Regions from separate parts of the Mus musculus genome. Here regions 1, 2 and 4 are each reported to be linked to region 3. Evidence: microRNA targets listed by miRTarBase, many of them from high-throughput screens and not tested one by one. Region 3 holds a microRNA gene; each other region holds the end of a gene's coding sequence.

Evidence for each region. The annotated mature microRNA mmu-miR-582-3p reads UAACCUGUUGAACAACUGAAC and lies in region 3 at 2,072-2,092, shown strand. An mRNA with a match to its seed (bases 2 to 7 or 8) in the 3' UTR can be bound and repressed. Matches are read on the target gene's strand: a 7mer-m8 pairs with bases 2 to 8, a 7mer-A1 pairs with bases 2 to 7 and ends in A, and an 8mer does both.
Region 1: miRTarBase lists Dennd5b as a target of mmu-miR-582-3p. The part of its 3' UTR that is shown has no 7-base or 8-base seed match.
Region 2: the mRNA of Cd300lf is a reported target of mmu-miR-582-3p. The part of its 3' UTR that is shown has no 7-base or 8-base seed match.
Region 4: the mRNA of Gpi1 is a reported target of mmu-miR-582-3p. The part of its 3' UTR that is shown has no 7-base or 8-base seed match.

What each region holds. Positions count from the first base shown.
Region 1 is chr6:148,991,289-148,994,449 of GRCm38, forward strand. Dennd5b (DENN/MADD domain containing 5B) reads right to left here. Exons shown (of 21, transcript NM_177192.3): 21 at 1-2,601. The coding sequence ends at 2,418. Among named protein-coding and RNA genes, the nearest start is that of Gm25539, 26 kb to the left of the region's middle.
Region 2 is chr11:115,114,288-115,117,473 of GRCm38, forward strand. It overlaps Cd300lf (CD300 molecule like family member F), which reads right to left. Exons shown (of 7, transcript NM_001169153.1): 7 at 1,927-2,863. The coding sequence ends at 2,687. It also overlaps a transcript of Rab37 not described here. Among named protein-coding and RNA genes, the nearest start is that of Cd300lf, 18 kb to the right of the region's middle.
Region 3 is chr13:109,322,719-109,325,718 of GRCm38, forward strand. Mir582 (microRNA 582) reads left to right here and starts at 2,026; the gene lies at 2,026-2,106. All of the region lies in intron 3 of Pde4d (phosphodiesterase 4D, cAMP specific), which reads left to right.
Region 4 is chr7:34,199,681-34,202,866 of GRCm38, forward strand. It overlaps Gpi1 (glucose-6-phosphate isomerase 1), which reads right to left. Exons shown (of 18, transcript NM_008155.4): 16 at 3,135-3,186; 17 at 2,957-3,023; 18 at 1,647-2,869. The coding sequence ends at 2,734. Among named protein-coding and RNA genes, the nearest start is that of Pdcd2l, 4.6 kb to the left of the region's middle.

The sequences.
Region 1 (3,161 bases), not on the chromosome of region 3:
GTAATTTTTTGTTTTTTTGGTACTACTTTAAGTAACAGTTTTAAACTTAAGCTGGAATGCAACTCTGCTCCCATTTTTTAACCACAGATGTAATGCCTAAGAGATTAAGAACAGTTTGGTAGGCAGGGCTCTCACATGAATCCCTCACTTAGGAGGTAGATCTCTCCAGGTGAGCCTGGTCTACAAATGAAGTTCCAGGGCCAGCCAGGGATATACAGTGAGATCCTGTTTCACAAACAACAACAAAACAATCTAACGCGGCAAGGCAAGCTTCAGTCCTTATTATTCTGCATCACAGAAACATAGCTTCCTATCTGTACAGTTGACTGAAGATTCAACAGAAGAAATGATCCTGAGTAAGAATGTCTCCGAGGTTGGTTTCATGCTCTCGGGTGTGGTAAAAAGCATAAATTCTAACCCTTGTGTTGTCAAGGGGGAGAGGGCAAGAATACAAAGTCTTTGATTTGAAGTGTCCTATTTTCACCTATAAAATGAAGAGGCTGTACTTGCTGTTGGGACTCAACTGTGGAACACTGACTTAAAAGTCCACCAAGCGCTCAGCATCAGGATGGCCCCATGGGAAAAGACAGCAATAAAACCCTGGGATGGACTGTATCTTAATTTGTGGATGTTTCCTATAGTAAGTAGATTGGTCTCTAGAATACTCTCATTCTACTATAAACACCCTTATTCTAAGTAAACAAACCACTGGGTTACACAGGTCATCTAGAGACATGTTCTAAGCCCTTTCTTTCCATGGGTGTGTAAATGTATCCTCAGCAACCCTTTTCTTCAGAGTTTCTGATAAAGGGCATGAGGTACTTGATCTATTAGTCCCTTCCTCCAGTAAACAGGAAAACAGCACTGCTGGCAAGAGCCCAGGGCCCTGAGATTGCACACGGATCCTGAGAGGCCATGGCTTGGGTTTTCAGCTACAACAGGGAATAAAACCTGGAGCTCTGCCGAGGCAATTTTGCTACTAACAAGGTATCGGTGCCTAATTAGAGTTCCGAAACTTACTCACCAAAAGATAAAGATTTATGTAGTTGCTAACATTTGCTTAACAAAAAAATAAATAAGCTATCAAACTAGAAAGGTTTCAGGAGTTCCTAAATTGTCTCTTGAGTCAAATTCACTCCTCAGTCTGCCACAGTGGCTTTTAACTTCTCTGGGACAATTGCTTTACATTTCCCTGAAACACCCAGAAAGGCTTCATTCTTTCTCTCAGCTTCTGTTATTTGCATTATCATGGTCAACAAATACCTTCACAAAAGCATTCCAAATCACACTGAGACCTCCTCCTTCTCCCACATTCCTTTTATTTCCTGAGAGGGGGGATGGGGCGGACAGAGGGAGTGGCTGGAACCTAACAAAGACTGGGCTGGTAGTTTAGCTCCACTTAAAGAGTTTAGATGGCCAAGTTAAAAGTCACACTGTTTCTTACAGTTATGGCTATATGATTGATACTAAAATTCATTATCTCAAAAGCCCTATCAAAGAACAGTAATAAAAATTCCAAGAACGAAGCCTCCAGGCTAATCTTTCAAAAGTAAAGAAGTTAAAGTCCCATGCTTCTCAGGGCTTCTTGTGTTTGCTTTCCAATTAGCCAAGCTCTTGGGATCTGGTATTTGCGCTCTCTCTCTCTCTCTCTCTCTCTCTCTCTCTCTCTCTCTCTCTCTCTGTTGAGATAGGGTCTTGCTATGTAGCTCTGTCTGGTCTGCAACTCAGATGCACCTGCCCCTGCCTCCCTAGTGCTGGGAGTGCGCCACTATGCCTTGCTGGGGTCTGATATTTAAAATACTTTAATTATCTTTTCCTTATGCCAATGAAAAACGTTCCCAAAAACTAAAAAAATTACTCATAATTCAAATGTATTAAATGGTTTATAACTTAAAAGGTACAATGAGGACTGCTGTACACTATGTAAAGCTGTATACATTCACCACACACAGGATGGGACTCCAGGAGGGATGGCTGCTTCAGGACAAAGCATTCTGGTTCCTTTGTGAGACCTGGAGGGAAAAAGAAGCCTTCCTGGGTTGCACTATGTACACATTTACTGGCTTCTTCCTGACTAGCACCGCTTTCCCCACCCCCAACATTTTTAAACTACTTATTTTAAGTCACAGGGATATTCAATCTAAGAAAAGTATCTTATTAGAGTAATATAATTTCTTAAAGATAGCATATTTACACACTTCTAACACATGAAAATACTCTATTTTATACTAAATTTCAGGTTCAAATGAACTACAATACAGCACTTTGCCTTGTCTGCAGAGTGGAGACTGTTCAAACTGGGGCTTCCAGTGCACTGCCCCGGCAGTGCTCACTATGGTCAGACCGGTCCAGATAGGTCCCCATAGTTACGGAAGCTTCAGGAGCCAGGGGTAGATGAAGAGTTTCTGCCGGCTGCTTTACACATCCACTCCTTTGATTAGTGATCCTTCCAAGACTATGGTGAAATCCTGAATGGTCTGAAGAATTCGGATAAGGGAGTTGACAGTCATGTGGTCTCGAAGCAGTGCATTCTCTTCATACATTCGGGTGATGGCAGGACATTCTGCTAGCAATGGAATCCACTGTGGAAGCAGGTGATCCCTACAGACCAAACAGACACAGGACTTGAGCTCTAACAGATACAGTGTAACTGGCTCCCCCTTGTGTCTTTCCCTTTAATTATCAGCCTGTTGAAACAATACAATTCAATCCTGTTCCTCAAAACCCTAGGATGATTGGGTGTATATATTTCTCTCTCTCTTCCCAATATGGGCACATGGAATAAATCTCTCTTCTGCTTCTCACTATGCATTTTATTTTTCTTAAAGATTTATTTTATTTATATGAGTACACTGTAGCTGTCTTCAGACATACCAGAAGAGGGAATCAGATCTCATTATAGATGGTTGTGAGCCACCATATGGTTGCAGGGAACTGAACTCAGGACCTTTGGAAGAGCAGTCAGTGCTCTTAACCACTGAGCCATCTCACCAGCCCCTCGTCATTATGCTTTTTAAACTTAAGAGCAGTGAATGCTCTTAACTGCTGAGCCATCTCTCCAGCTCTTGCTTTCACTATTAATTAGGCTCTTTTACTTGGCTTAACCAGGACAGGTAGCTGAACCTGGCTTGTTCTGGCACAAGGTATGATCCACAGGTTAG
Region 2 (3,186 bases), not on the chromosome of region 3:
GCTGGACCTAGACCCTCTACACGTTTGTAGCAAATGTGCAGCTTGGTGTCCATGTGAGTCCCCTAACAAGTGGAACAGGGGCTCTAGGTCTCTATTCCTTTCCAGTGGATCCAGCATGGACTGGGGTAGGAGGACTGCGTGTTTCCTCAGTGGGAAAGAATGTGCCTAGACTTGCTGAGACTAGATGCCTCAGAGTCAGGTTTTACCCAAGGTTTTACCCTTCTCTGAGAAGAGAAGGGGACAGGATTTGTAAGGGTGGGACTGGGTGGAGAGAAGGGGGGGGCTATGATCAGGACATACAGTTAATTAAATTAAAATAAAAACAAACACAACCCCCCAAAACTGCATGTCTTGGCTGGGCGACCCAGCATTTGGAGAGACAGTGGCAGGCAGAACTAAGTTCCAGGCTGGCCTGATTTATAGAGCGAGTTTCAGGACAGGCAATACTACAAAGAGAAATTCCATCTTGAAAAACAAAAATGATAAGAATTATAATAATGATAAATAAAAATTGTGCCTTACACAAAAAAACAAAACAAAAAACAAAAACAAGCAAACAAACAAAAAAACAGTCTCACTCCAGACTAACCAGCCCAAATGGCCAACTCAATAGTCAGGTTTGGAGCTAGAGAGATGGCCCAGGGGTTAAAAGCACTGGCTGTTCTTCCAGAGGACCAGGACTTGATTCCCAGCACCCACATGGTGGCTCACAACCATCTGTAATTCACGTCCCCGGGGATCCGATGCTGTCACAGTTACATGTGTGGTGCAGTGTCAAAGACACATACATCAGGCATGCACTCATACACATAAAATAAAAATAAATAAAAATCTCAAGGAATAGAAGAGTCACGCGTGGGGTCAGCAAGATGGTTTAGCTGGTGAAGTCGTTGTTATGCAAGCCTGACAGTCGGAGTTCTGTGTCCAAACCCCACGAGGTGGAAAGAAAAACTAATGCCTGCATGTGTCCTCTGACCTCCATGACTCGTGTACCTACCATAAAAATACAGGGGTAGTGAGTGCCCCGCCCTGAGAAGGACACGGTTTTACTTTCTTAGTCAGCTGTCCACTGCACTGACAAATTATTGCGATGGTAATTTATAAGCTCGTGGTTTTAATCCACGGCTTCCTGACTCCGTTGCCTTGAGCTTGTGGCCAGCACGAACATCGTGGTGGGGTGCATGTGGCAGAGAAAAGCAATTCATTTCCCAGTGGCCAGGAAAAGAGGAGAGGCCAGAGTTCCCATTTCGCCTTCAAAGGTATACTCCCTGTGACGTCACTCCCCACCATTAAGCCCCGCCCTCTAGAGGTTCCACTGACTCCCAAAATAGCCACAGACTGGGGATCAAGCCTTTAAGTGCCTGGCCCTTGGGAGACGTGTCAGACCCAAACTGGAACATCTAGTCAGGAAAGAGAAGAGGCTGGTGTGGAATGGATAAAGAGTACTAAGGGAGAGTAGGTGGAGTTAGGGTTCACACGGCAAGCCGGGGTCATGGGTTCCTTGCGTCCTCAAAGGCAGTGGAAGAAGCCACGGAGGTTATAAGGCAGGCGCCATCAACTCTGAGCTTTGAAAGGACTATGCTGGTTGCTGGGAGGAGCATTAAGTTGGGCGGAGGAAGAAGAGAAACCAGGCACAGAAGAAATGGCTGCTCTGCCTAGGCTACATCATCATGAAACCAAGGATATCTTCTGAGGAGAAAATCGCTAGGACCCCAGAACGAAGGCACTAAGCCCGATGTCTATAAATACTCTAAGACAGAAGTGGTGGTGCACACCTTTGATCCCAGCACTTGTGGGGCAGAAGCAGGTAGATCTCTGTGAACCGGAGGCCAGCCTAGTCTACAGAGTGTCTAGAACAGTTTCTATAGTTCCAGAACACCCAGGGCTATGTAGAGACCCTGTCTCAAAAAACCAAAGGTAAGGAAATAAATAAAAACAATACAACTTTATTCTTCTACAATTCTGAAAGTACACAATCAATTCAACTCCACCCAACCCTTGACACTGGCAGACCTAATCGCCACCCAGTGCTCCGCTCACGGAACAGAACAGTCTGATACTTGGCCTTGCTGGCTGCTGGATGTGCAACATCCTGACTCCTTCTGCATCCCTCCACCTTCTGCTTCTGTTGTTCTCTCTCTTTCTCTCTCTCTCTCTCTCTCTCTCTCTCTCTCTCTCTCTCTCTCTCTCTCTCACTCTCTCTCTCTCTCTCTTCCTCCTTAAAACAGACCCTTGTGGTTATATTTTGGGCCTACTTGGATAATACAGACTCATCTCAAAACTCTAACTTAAACACATATGTACTTATCTTTCTTTGTATAAAATAATTTACAGATTATGGGTATGAGGATGAAAATGTCCTGGGGGGAGGGGCGGGGGAAACCCATATGAAAAACAATAAATAAAGGTTGATTGCTATTATTGTCATCGTTGATACGATTTACACAGCATCCCTGAAGCAGCCTGCCTGGTACCTTCCAAGGTACATTGGCTATAAGTGGGGATGTGGAAGGAGCCTTAATTCCCTGGAACTCCCTGAGGTTGAACTCCAAGCTCAAGCAAGGTAGAGCTGATGGCCATGAGAGACGGATGGACAGAGTTCCAGTCACCAGCTGGGCCGGGTAAGGAAGCAGGTACAGAGGCAGATGTAAAGATCCATGCTCCAAGCCGCCTTCAGAGACCAAGATTAAGGCATGGCTGCAGGCAAGGGCCTCCTGATGCTGCTGTACTCTGTGGTCTCCTCTTCAAGGCCTGTCCTGGGAACGTGGGTGATGGGGCAGCCAGTATTGCCATAAGTAGGCTCCTGACCCAAGCCGGCCAAAGTCAGAGCGGCATATGAAACCTCCTCCCTGGGAAAGGGAGCCTGGGATATAGAAGGGGACAAAGTCAGATCTCTGAAGGGGAACAGTGGCCACCCAGTGAGACAAAAATCTTAGAGGAGGCAGGTCAGGTCTCCCATTCTGGTAGGAACCCCAAATAACCTTCAGCTACAATACAACGGAGCCCCCACCTCTGCCCAAGGAGAAGCACTTCCTACGGGATCCTGAGCCACTGGGACAGCCTGGCTCTTCCCTGCCCAGTGTTCGGACCAAGACCTCTGGGTTGAGATGTGGCATGGAGACACTTCTGAAGCCGCTTGCTCTGTTCAGACCCCACCCTCATCAGCTGTGTCCACATGGGTATGGA
Region 3 (3,000 bases):
TGCAACCCTATAGGTGGAACAACATTATGAACTAACCAGTACCCCGGAGCTCTTGACTCTAGCTGCATATGTATCAAAAGATGGCCTAGTCGGCCATCACTGAAAAGAGAGGCCCATTGGACACGCAAACTTTATATGCCCCAGTACAGGGGAACGCCAGGGCCAAAAAGGGGGAGTGGGTGGGTAGGGGAGTGGGGGTAGGTGGGTATGGGGGACTTTTGGTATAGCATTGGAAATGTAAATGAGCTAAATACCTAATAAAAAATGGAAAAAAAAGCATCTAATTTTATTAGCAGTGTTATAAGACAGAAGGCAAACTGTGCAAACATATATATAGCTAGCCCAGGAGACAAAATATCTTGTGTTCTCTTTTTAGAGAACTCAGTTCAGGAAAACCAACTCTCAATGGTGAGTGGAAATCGAGAAGTGTGGGCAATATGTCTAATGTTTACAGCTGAGACCTAGCTCCTTACTGTCAGTTTTATCTTAAAAAATGCCTTCCAGATGGGTCTGTGTCTTTCTCAGGCTAAAGAGCAGGGCAAGAAAGTCCTAGACCCTTTGTATGCAACTGATATGATGGATGATGGGTTTTTGCAGGACTCCAGACAGCAGTTGGTTATTAAGGAAGGGTAGGGCCCGTGGGAGCAATTGTTTCTGGCCTCTTTTCTTATCAAGCCCCCAAACAATCTTTCATTGACTGTATTCATGCCACAGGAGCACAGTCAATACAAAATCCCACCAAGAGAAAAATCTCATGCAGAAACAGCTGTGCTCAAAGTGCAGCCAGTTTACACTGGCAAGTGGGAAAACTTTCCCAGCTCTTTATATGTTGACTCTCGATAGCTGTGGTGTGAATGCTGCCATTTGTAAATAAGGGAAGCCTGGGTTTAAACAGCTTTCACTAATATCTATAGGTAAATGAGTGAAGTAGTCAGCCCTGTGGCACCTTAGAAAACTCTACTAATTCTCGTCAAAACAGACATGCATATGTCCAACATAATATGTTCAAGTGGCCAAGTTTCATTTTTTCCCCCACCTCCCATGAAAGTTGAGGTAGGACTTTTTTATGCCTATATCATGGTTGACCTGAAGTCCAGGCTGCAGAGGTACTGCATGCCATTCAAGAACATACAGAGTTAAATGTACTAATATTTTTATATGGTAAAGCTGGGGCTCGGGGTAGGGAATCAGGTTCTTGAAAAACAGAAAAGTACCCACCAGTTAGTTTTATTGAATTCAACACTTGTGTCACAGAAATCCATTGACTAAGTTAATTCCCTGAAAATGGCTGCGCTCTTTGCTGCTTACATCCACCCATTCCACTGCTGGAGAGTGTTCAGCTTATTGCTCAACGCTAGTGGACTTAAACAGAGCCTCCAAATTTACACGGTAAAATCAGCTACGCGACATGGTACAGAAGCCTGTCTTTGGCAGAAATTTAAAAAAAAAAATCAAGGAGTAGAGAAATTATTACAGACAGGCACTAAGAAAGATTGGGATTCCCCAAGAATCTAAATAAATATTGAGCAGAGGCGAATCCCTTGGAGAGACGAGAGCCTTCTGCTTTCAGCTTAATGAAGCAGGGCTTCGGCGCTTCCTGGTCTGCTCCTGTGTATATGTCCTCTGCACGATGCTGTGTGCCTGACTAAATAAAGGTAAAAGCCCGGACCTGTGTCTTATGGTGTTGGCAGTGACTGCATATTCACTCTAATGGAAACTGTAAAATGTGAAGGTTACCTCCTTCACATTCCTTGAAATATTTTTCCTTGTTAAAGTTTCTCTCAGCCAGAGGCCATGTATTAAATTTCTATTATGTAGGGCAGCCTCTTTTTCTATTTCTGTCTCTTTCTCTCCCTCTCTGTCTCTCCTGTCTGTCATGGTACTCTGCTAATACTAGATGTTCAATGGATATTTAACACCTTTCTCTTGAATGTATGCGTCTTGTTTGACATCATTCTTGCACACACTGAAGAGGACAGACTGAGCCGGGCTGAACACCGCTGGCCAATCTCCCTCGTAATCTGTACTCTTTGGATACAGTTGTTCAACCAGTTACTAATCTAACTAATTGTAACCTGTTGAACAACTGAACCCAAAGGGTGCAAAGTTGGAAGCATTTCATTGAGAAGTCAGCTGAGGACAAAGGAAGCTCCGCCAATCCCCTTCAGTGCGGAGAGGCGAAGACTGCTTCTCAAACACAAGCCGTGCCACGTGATCCCTCCGAACGCCCGTCCGGTGGTGATGCTGCGTAAGTCTGCATGTATCATCTGTTCTCCTGCTAAGGATTATACATAGTGCAAGCCCCAGAGACAGTGCTACTAGCCATGTGTTTTTTTTTAAAAAAAAAAAAGCTATCTGAAAATCAGCAAAGTTATGAGACTAAAGGGTTCGGAAAGATGAGACATATTCCTTTGATTGGTGCTCATGTCTCAAGGCTGATATGGGCAATTCCAGAAGCTTCCAGAAATGAGATGTGAAGTGGTCCTTGGTAGTTTTAGGAGGTAATGTAACCAAGTTTATTCATGGCAATGGGCAGTAGACTGACTTTTTTTCTGCTTCTTTTTAACCGAAATATATTTTTTCAAGATGTGGCTCAATTAGCAGAATGCCTTCCCAGCATCCCCACAGCCCTGAGCTTAATCCCGTGTACCAGATTAACTAGGCATAGGGACACATGCCTGAAATTCTAGATCCCAAGAGGTAGAAGCAGGAGGGGCAGAGGTTTAAGGCTCAGCCTCAGCTACAGAGTTTGAAGTCAGTTTGGGATGCCCAAGAACCCTATCAAGAAAACAGAACAAAACACCCAAACGCCAAACCTTTCTTGGTCTTAGGATCGCATACTATTAGTAAAACTTTATGCTAAAAGGAGTGTGTGTTGTTTCAGTGTTTTCCAAGGAAGTTCCCAGGGGACATGTCTACACAGTAGCATCTAGTGAAAAGGGTAGATTTGAGTTCTGAATGATTCTAAATGTCATACAAGATGGTGTCCCCTTTTCTTAT
Region 4 (3,186 bases), not on the chromosome of region 3:
GTGTAGATGTACCACATTTTCTGTATCCATTCCTCTGTTGAGGGGCATCTGGGTTCTTTCCAGTTTCTGGCTATTATAAATAAGGCTGCTATGAACATAGTGGAGCATGTGTCCTTCTTACCAGTTGGGGCTTCTTCTGGATATATGCCCAGGAGAGGTATTGCTGGATCCTCCGGTAGTACTATGTCCAATTTTCTGAGGAACCGCCAGACTGATTTCCAGAGTGGTTGTACAAGCCTGCAATCCCACCAACAATGGAGGAGTGTTCCTCTTTCTCCACATCCTCGCCAGCATCTGCTGTCACCTGAATTTTTGATCTTAGCCATTCTCACTGGTGTGAGGTGGAATCTCAGGGTTGTTTTGATTTGCATTTCCCTGATGATTAAGGATGTTGAACATTTTTTCAGGTGCTTCTCTGCCATTCGGTATTCCTCAGGTGAGAATTCTTTGTTCAGTTCTGAGCCCCATTTTTTAAGGGGGTTATTTGATTTTCTGAGGTCCACCTTCTTGAGTTCTTTATATATGTTGGATATTAGTCCCCTATCTGATTTAGGATAGGTAAAGATCCTTTCCCAGTCTGTTGGTGGTCTTTTTGTCTTATAGACAGTGTCTTTTGCCTTGCAGAAACTTTGGAGTTTCATTAGGTCCCATTTGTCAATTCTCGATCTTACAGCACAAGCCATTGCTGTTCTGTTCAGGAATTTTTCCCCTGTGCCCATATCTTCAAGGCTTTTCCCCACTTTCTCCTCTATAAGTTTCAGTGTTTGAGTGTAGTTTTAAGTGCCTTTTAATCCGGGGACCCAGAAGGGCTACCAAACACCCCCCCCCACACACACACACACTATTGCTTCCCTTTTGCTTTAACCCCCTTTAGCTCCAGGACATGTCCTCCCCTGAGCTTCCCTTGAATCTTCAGATAAAGACACACAGCTTGTTACTTTACAACTTACCTTCTGGGCACAATTGCTGGGCACAGATATCTCCTGCCTGGAAAAGCATCCACTTAACCAATTATCACCATCTCTCCACCTGCCCTAAATTTAGTAACTAGTCCCACCGAGCCCCTATTAAACATCCTTGGCGGCTCCCCTGAGAGCTCACATGGTTGTTGTGTCCTTCTTCCTCTAAAACACAGCAGAAAGACACTTTCTCCTTCCCTGCATCTATCTGCCTTTTTTTCCTCCTGGGACCTGGGAAGTCCACCTATACCTTCTGTCCAGCAATTGGCCTCTAGCTTTCTTTACTGACAAATCAAGAACCAATTGGGGAACAGGACTTTAGCATCAGAACCACCCACTTCAGTGACCAAGTTTGTGTACAGTCTACAGGGTAGACTCCTGTTTGAGTGTTTGGCCCAAAGGGAGTGGCATTACTAGGAAGTGAAGCTATGCTGAAGGGTGTGCCACTGTGGGGGCAAGCTTTGAGGTCTAACTTGCTCAAGCTAGGCCTACCTTCCGCAGCCTTCGAATCAAGATGTTGAACTCTTGGCTTCTTTTCAAGCACCAGGTCTACCCACATGTGCCACCATGGTCTGCCATGACAATAATAGACTAAACCTCTGGACTGTAAGCCAGCCCCAATGAAATGTTGTCTTTTACAAGAGCTGCTATGGTCATGGTGTCTCTTCACAGCAATAAAACCCTAAGACATGTACCAAGTCTTTTTATTGACTGGCCATCAAATGGGCCTAATTAACATGGTGGAAAGTAGAATGACAGGGCTGTCACTCAGTCTCACAAGGACTCACTGATAGCCAGGATATGAATGTGACAGTAATGACACCCTGCTAAAACTGTCTTTTGAAGGGTATAATCGAGTTCATCCCTGGGTTCTTTTGTTTGTTTTTAAGACTTATTTATTTTATGTATGTGAGTACATTGTAGCTGTCCTCAGACACACCAGAAGAGGGCATCGGATCTCATTACAGGTGGTTGTGAGCCACCATGTGGTTGCTGGGAATTGAACTCAGGACCTCTGGAAGAGCAGTCAGTACTCTTAACTGTTGAGCCATCTCTCCAGCCCCATTCCTAGGTTTTGATACCAAAAATAAAGCGAAGGTAAACAAACAAACAAGCAAGCAAAAACCTACCTAGTGAAGCAGAATTACTTTTTCCACGTCACCAAGGTGAGGAGGGGAAGGAGGTGAACACGTGACTGGAGAGCAAGTTGCCCACCTAACTGCAGATCCCTGACCCCACCCTACCCAACCCCTTTTTTGTAGACAGGGTTTCTCTGTGTAGCCCTGGCTATCCGGGAACTCATTTTGTGGACCAGGCTGGCCTTGAATTCAGATAGACCTGCCTGTGCCTCCCAAGTGCCCCTATCACCCAGCTGTCCCCTCATAACGATCAATCCTCCGAGACTGTGGACCAGCCCACCACCAAGTAAAGAGCCAACCAAACAAGGCATAAGCAGGGTCACCCACAAGTAACAGATAAAAGTACTGACTCAGTAAACTGAAGAGGCTGAGCCCCCATGCCTCCTCTAGGTGTCTTTATTCTAGCTGGGGTGTGAAATACAGGTCAGAACAACATGACACGTCAAAGCCCTTCCATCAGCTTCAACAGGGAGGGTGCGTAGTGGGTGGATGGCAGTTCCAGACCAGCTTCTCCCAACAGCCTTGTAGTCCAGGCCAACTACCGGTGGTGCGCTCTGGGCAGGGAGGGGCAGGACCATGCAGTGCATATGGTGAGAAGGGACACGGAGGACCAGTCAGTAGGGCCGCGGCTGGAGTTATTCTAGTTTGGTGTCCCGCTGTTGCTTGATGAAGCTGATCAGTCCGTTAGTGGAGGAATCATGGGAGGTCACAGCAGAGCTGCCCTCCAGCTCCGGCTCAATTTTCTTGGCCAGCTGCTTCCCCAGCTCCACTCTGTCGGGGGAGGGTGGAAGAGGAGGATGAGCCAGCCACATTCCAGAGACAACCCAAAAGCACAACAGAGATTCCTCGGCAACTCACCCCCACTGGTCGAAGCTGTTGATGTCCCACATGATGCCCTGAACAAAGATCTTGTGCTCATACATGGCTGCAGAGGAAACAACAGACGGTGCCCGTTAGGGTCTCTCTCCTTCCTTCCTTCCCTTCCCCATCCAAGTGACCCCAAGCCAGCCAGCTCATCCTTCTTCTCCTCACTCACCAATCAAGGCCCCCAGAATGAAGGGTGTCAGCTTGGTAAACACAATAGAGTT